Linked DNA regions of Rattus norvegicus. The protein of the gene in region 2 interacts with the protein of the main gene of each other region in a biochemical or structural test. Links are inferred from orthologs where the notes say so. Each region holds a gene or a part of one and is shown on either strand. Other genes may lie near its edges.

Region 1 (3,916 bases), on a different chromosome or scaffold from region 2:
CAGCTGAGCCAGAGGGTAGCAGATTGGTGGGAATGGAGGTCCAGGGGTAAGGGCTGGGGTGGGAAGAAGGTGAGGCCTAATGGATGGGGCAAGGCTGGGCACAAGACTAGTGTCTCCTCACCTGGTGATCAGACAGACTGCTTTTGCCATTGGTGTCAGGGGAGGTGTCCAGATGTACAAAGTCCCTTGCTCCTCCTGTCCAGAGTGGAAGTGAGCAGAGTAAGTGGCAGAGATCTTCCAGACCCCACGGTTCCTGTGACCCCCAAGCCAGCCTTGTTACACACACCTGGAGTCACAAACTCATACACTTTATGAGGGTCAAAAGGGTCCTTGCTCCGGTCCTCAGCTAATCGCAACACTTCTTTCCGGTTCAGGGCTGACCGGAAATTCCTCTTCCAGGTTGACAGGTCTGGCTTATCCTTCCCTGGGGTGTAGGCACCACTGGCTTCCGCCCAGGCCTGATACATCAGTGATTCCAGGACAGTAGGGAAGACTACTTAGACACCTCCCACCATATTCCATACATTTCTGGTTCCTGACCTAAGTTCTCACATTCATAGAGCCCCTAGGACTTCTGTCCCGACCTCATCCTTATCTATATTTTCCACACTTTAGAAAAATATTTTTGAATATGAGACAGGGTCTCACACATTATAACAAAGGTAGGCTCCAAGTTTCGACCCTCTAGCTGCCACTTCCAGAGTGCTGGGATTACAAACGTATGCCACACATCCACCTTCAAGCCTTTTGATTTTGGTTTGTTTTTTTTTTTTAGGTTTATTTATTATAGACGAGTACACGTAGCTGTCCTCAGATGTGCCAGAAAAGGGCATCAGATCTCATTACAGATGGTTGTGAGACACCATGTGGTTGCTGGGATCTGAACTCAGGACCTCTGGAAGAGCAGTCAGTGCTCCCAACCGCTGAGCCATCTCTCCAACCCAAGCCTTTTGTTTTTTAAGCCAGTATTCTAGGACCTACTTGGTACCTCACCCCACATTCTGTTACTACCATGCTGATCTGGTAGCTAATAACCCCATCCTGAGGGCTGTTCCAATTCTTAAGATTTAAGGGATCTAAAATCAAGAGCCCACCCCCCCCCCGAGATTTCCCATCCTCTAATAAAAGAGCTGTTCTCAACTATCCGAATACAGATCCTCATGATGTAGTGAGTCCCCAGCCCCAAATTTTTTTCATTGCTACTTCAAAACTGTAATTTTGCTGTTATAAATCTTTTTTTTTTTTTTTTTTTTCCGGAGCTGGGGACCGAACCCAGGGCCTTGCTAGGGCCTTGCTCCTGCTAGGCAAGCGCTCTACCACTGAGCTAAATCCCAACCCCAGCTGTTATAAATCTTAATGTGAATATCTGTTTTCCAATGAAAGGCCCGTTCAACCCCCAAAGGGGTTGCGTCCCACAGATTGAGAACCATTGCTCCAGAACAGTTTTTTAGAGACACAACCTGGCTTTCAGAATTCTATTCCTGGAATCTGCCAATCAATTCCGGGCTGTCCCTCCAAGTCTATCCCACCTAATTAGCAAGACCCAGCCCTGTCTAGTCACGCCCATAAATGCCTCTGAAGTCTCAACGCCCCCCCCCGCCCCCTCCCCCCCAGCACCTGGAAGATGCCAAAGTCAGCCATCTGTGCGTCCTGTCGTAAGCCATGCTTCCATGGGATCCTGAACTTTGTACGGCTCTCGTCCAGCCAGGCCACACCTTTCAGCTGTCCCAGGTCCAGCTGAGACACCAGCCAAGGCAAAATCAGCGGTTTCGGGGTTCCCATGATCCAGCCTGCGCATACAGTGCAGTTCCTGAGCCTGTATGTCAAGGGGCAAATGCACTCAAACCTCTCCGACCCGATACAGCACAGGCCTTCCTTCACCCTGTTTTCCTGTGTACAAACGGGAAACTCCTTCCCACCTTTCCAATTCCAACGGGACCGCCTATCCTACCCCACAGTTTTCCATAGGTTCTTTCCCTTTTCTAAATGTAAACCCCTATTACTCAAAGCAAGTACCCCATTTCCAGGGTGGAGTCCTCTTTCCCTGTCTTTAAAGAATCATGACTGTTCTCACACCCACCTCACCCTTGCAGAAAACCCTTACTCATTTCCAGAGTCTTCTCCCAGCTGCTGTCGCTTCTTCTGCTTTGTCTTTTCTACATTGTTTTTATGGATGTTTTGAGACAGGGTCTTAGTATGGAGCATAGGCTGTCCTCGAACTTGCTATGTAGCCATGATTGGTCTTCAACTCACTGTGTGGCCCAGGCTGGCCTCGAATGCACTCTGTAACCCAAGCTACCCTCAAACTTATTCAGTAGCTCAGGCTGGTCTTCAACTCGCTTAACCCATGCTGGTTTGGAGCTCATTCTGTGGTTCAGCCTGGCCTGGAGCTCACTGGCCTCGAACTTGCAGCAATCTTTACTGCCTCCAGTCTGGATGCTGAGACTGCAGGCTTCCGTCTACAACGCGTAACCATTCTGGTTTTCGGTAGCCGAGCTCCTGTGCCCTGAGGCCGCCACCCTCCCGGTTCTTCCGCGTTACCTACCAGGGGAGGAATTGCGCGCTCGTGGGGCGCGGGTGTCAGCACTGGTTTTGGGGCTCCCAAACAGTAGTTGAGACTCGCAGCCACGCAACCCCCTTCTTTGTCAACTAAGCTTCCGAGCGTTGGGACTTTCCTTTCTAATGGTATTTTGAGATAAAAAAAAAATTTCTCATCATTTACTTTAAGAAAAGTCAGAAAACCTAGGAGCACACTCCGACTGAACCGGCCTAACTCCCTCAATGCCCTTTTTTGGCCTTCCGCCTACAGGCATGCTGGGAACGCCATATGCAAATGATGCAACACAGCGCTCCGCCCCCTCGACGTTGGGGCGGTTACCGTGTCGGCCCAGTGCGCAGGCGCGGGAAAGTTGAACTTCGGAAGTAAAGTTTGTAGAAATTGAGTGAAAGCGTGTGTGCGCCAGTACGACTGAGGCAGAACCCCGATCCAGGTGAGCGGGGTACCAGGGAGGGAGCTAGGTTGCAGGAGAGGTCACAGCCAGTCCTGTCTCTCTGACTTCCAAGCACGGAGGTCTCCTGGTGCCCGCCAGAGGTCATTGGAACTACATCTCCCAGCAGGCTGCTCGGTGAAAAAGAGGGGAAACCCGGCTAGCGTTTGCCGCAAAGCGTACTAGGATTAGTAGTTCCCTATTCTCTAGGGTCTTCGAGACTCCTTCAGCACTCAGGGCTCCCTTCCTGCTCCTGCATGTAAGAGTCCAAGCACTCAGTTACGTCCTTTCTTTCTTTCTTTCTTTTTTTTTTTCTTTTTTTTCGGAGCTGGGGACCGAACCCAGGGCCTTGCGCTTGCTAGGCAAGCGCTCTACCACTGAGCTAAATCCCCAACCCCTACGTCCTTTCTTAGATTCAATAATTCAGGCCCTTTCTCCTCAACGGAATCAACTGCCCCACTGGCCCTTAAGCCACCTTTTCCTTGGAGTAAGGTGTCCTCTTCATTCAGTGATTGAATGAAGTTTGAGTTATCACTCCATTTGGGTACATTCTCTGTCTTCTGCTTCAGGTACCTCCATGGCCGGCTCTGAAGAGTTGGGTCTCCAAGAGGACACACTGAAGGTTCTGACTGCCTTCCTTAGGCGCGGTGAAACTGCTGGGTCCCCTGTCCCAACTCCACCCAGGTGAGATACTATTCCACTCCCCCAGGGCCAGCCTTTGATCAGAAGATCTTCCTGAGTCTAGTGGTCTACTCCCTTCATACCTAACCCCATATGTCTGTCCCAAGCTTCAAGAATCTTCCACGAGAGGACGAAGGGATTGTTTGCTCAGAACCCTCTGGGATAACTCTGAGGTTCTTGCCCCTAGGAGCCCTGCCCAAGAAGAGACAACAGATTTCCTGAGCCGACTCCGAAGATGCCTCCCTTGT
Region 2 (2,723 bases):
CATGTAGGGAAGATTGCAATAGCAACCCCTGATAGAGAAATTGTCCACAATAGGGCCCAGAGATAGAGGTGGCTACACGCTTATCCCCTGTCCAGCAAAGGGCACCCTGAGGAAGCCCGTGAGGATAGCCTCAATATACATCATTGTATTTCACTGTCTGGAGACTGGCTGGCCTGGAGCTGTGTAGACCAGGCTGGTCTTGAACTCACTCAGAGATCTGCCTGCCTCTGCCTCCTGAGTGCTGATTAAAGGCATGAGCACAGCCAGCCTAAGCCTAACTGTATTTCTGCTATAGGAATAACTAGACTTCCTGCCCACTGAGAAGGGAAGAATGTGCTAAGACCTATCTCTCACCGAGAAGGGAAGAATGTGCTAAGACCTATCTCTCACCAGGTACCTTTTCTTTAAAAGTGATGATGTGTCAGATGGTGGTGGCCCATGCCCTTAATCCTAGCACTTGAAACAAACAGGTGGATCTCTGAGTTTGTGGCCAGCCTGGTCTACAGAGTGAATTCTAGGACAGCCAGGACTACACAGAGAAACAGTCTAGGGTGGGGTGGTGATAACATGTATCCAACCTTTAAGAAATTTGGAACACACAAGATTTGTACAGATAAACTCTTTTAATTAATCCCAATAAAACTAGAATATATTAGCATATATATGCATATTCACCCCATCTCACAGGTGAGAAAAGTGAGGCACAGAGGTAAGGTCTACACCTGACCAGGGAGGAGACAAAAGCACGATGGAGGCGAAGGCTGCTCTCTCAAAGACTGTGCTATTACCACTGTGCACTCTGTCTCTCATGCTCTCACCTTAGCTCTACCAGCCTGGGCAGGACGGCAAGAACTTGTGCTCACACCCTCGGGGATAGGCACTAGGCAAATATCTCTATCCTTCAAACTCAGAGGAGCCCAGTAAAAGGAAGTGCTACCCACTGTCCACACTGGGAGGAAGACTAGAGAAGCTAAACATCTGCTAAAGGCAGAGAAAGGGTGGAACTGATCCAAGCCCAGCCTGAGCTCTGCCCACTAGGTATCTCATCATCCAGTGTAGGAGGTCAAAGAGAATGGAGACCAGGAGGGGAGAAGTGAAGAGCTGGGATAAGGAGGCTGGAGCAAGGCTCCCAGGGGCTTTCTCAGGCCTGGGAGCTGCTTCTGGCTTTCTTGGAGTCCACAGAGAACCTCCAGGCCCACCCTTAGGGCTGTCTGGCTGGGGAGAGGGACCAAAGGGGCAGAGCACCCAAAGCTCCCAAGAGACCAGCTGCTCTGCTGCTCCCAGGCACTCTGCCGAGGCCTCAGCCAGGCTGCTGGTGGAAGGCATTGGATGCTACGGGACCACTCATCACTATTCTACGCTTGTGTTTCAGGAGACCTGGGTGAGAGGAGGGGCACTGTCAACAGTGCAATGCCTCCTCATCTTCAGGCTTGGGCCAATAGGGATGAGTCTGGTGGGGATACCTCCTTAGGAGCACATAGCATGCAATCTTACCCTGCCCTGTGGGCAGGTCAGAAGCAATGGAAGGGATACAGGGCCCCCAAAAGCTGAAGACCAGAAGATGACATGAACCAGGATAGAAGCAGTGTCTCTTCCCCCACCACATAGTGATGGCGCCTCAGTACAGGTAGCACCTGTACCTGGATAACTCAGTGGACCTCGCCATATCTACCACCCCAAGCCTAGAGGGCATGCTTGGCAGGACTGAGCAAGTGAGTGTGGCATACAGCTGAGGCTTCACTGGGCCAGGTGCCTGCTACGGTAGAGCATCACTGCCAGGAATGCAGCCAAGAGTGCACTGGTGGCCCCCAGCCACTTAGCCCAGGACACTGAACTGGCACAAGGCTCTTCCTCTTCTGGGGACTGCTGGGTGGCTAGTGGCTCAGGGCTTCCTAACAGATCAACACTGGGACTTTTATCCACCTGGATTCGAAAGGATGAATACTCATTCTCCTCTGGACCATGGTTGGGTTCTGAGCCCAAGGAGGTGCTAGGGCTGATGGCAAGGTCCATAGAGCAGGCTGAGAATGGCTCGTTGTCCACCTGGGACACCAGCACCCCTGGCTTGCTTAACTCTGGCCCAGAGTGCAAGCTCCTGGAACTGATATCTGGTCTGGTCAGGCTGCTTCCAGTGGTGACTACGGTTGCTGGAGCCTCCAGGGTCTCCTGCAAACATAAGAAGAGGGGTTCAGGTGACAGGAGATAACCCAGGGTGTGGCAAGGGCTTGAACTAGTATCCCACAATAGCCGAAATTACCCTCTCTTGGGGATAAGACACAGCTGAGTAGGTGACCAAGATGCTGCAGTACCCCTCCAGGGCAGCCCTCTCCCACTCACGGAACTGCTGTGAGCTCCACTAAGAGGGAGCCCTTGCTGGCATGTGAACCATCTTGTACTACCTGGGCCTGAGAGCCACAGGGCAGGCACAAGATCCTGAGGTTTACAAACTTGGTTCCCTTAGGTAGACAGTTGTATGGTCGTGGGGAAAATGGCTATAGGGGTCACTAGGTTGGAGAAGCTACTACAAGCAGGATGCTTGAGAACACTGTCGAATGAACAGGGCACTAGGACACATGAGCCATCACGTTTAGTCCCCACTACTCCAGCTACAAAATGGTACTGCTGACCTTCACTGGGGCTTCAAGCTCCAAATGAGTTAACAGACATGCCAGTGGGGGAAGTCCCATGCCCCACCCTACTTAGTCCGAGCTTAGGCGGGCTCA

The links.
Region 1: the proteins of Mavs (region 2) and Irf3 form a complex in vitro, tested with the Homo sapiens proteins (2 studies listed by BioGRID). The link is inferred for Rattus norvegicus from reciprocal best matches to the Homo sapiens genes MAVS and IRF3.

The regions. Positions count from the first base shown.
Region 1 is NC_086019.1:104,615,339-104,619,254, reverse strand, and holds the start of Irf3 (interferon regulatory factor 3), read right to left. Parts: upstream 2,648-3,916; 5' UTR 2,546-2,647; intron 2,244-2,545; exon of another isoform or gene 2,206-2,243; coding exon of another isoform or gene 2,105-2,205; intron 1,870-2,104; exon of another isoform or gene 1,817-1,869; coding exon of another isoform or gene 1,783-1,816; coding exon 1,618-1,782; intron 459-1,617; coding exon 287-458; intron 196-286; coding exon 122-195; intron 1-121. Other genes in the region: Bcl2l12 (bcl-2-like protein 12), read left to right, coding at 3,565-3,671, 3,856-3,916.
Region 2 is NC_086021.1:138,917,011-138,919,733, reverse strand, and holds the end of Mavs (mitochondrial antiviral-signaling protein), read right to left. Parts: intron 2,167-2,723; coding exon 1,738-2,166; 3' UTR 609-1,737; downstream 1-608.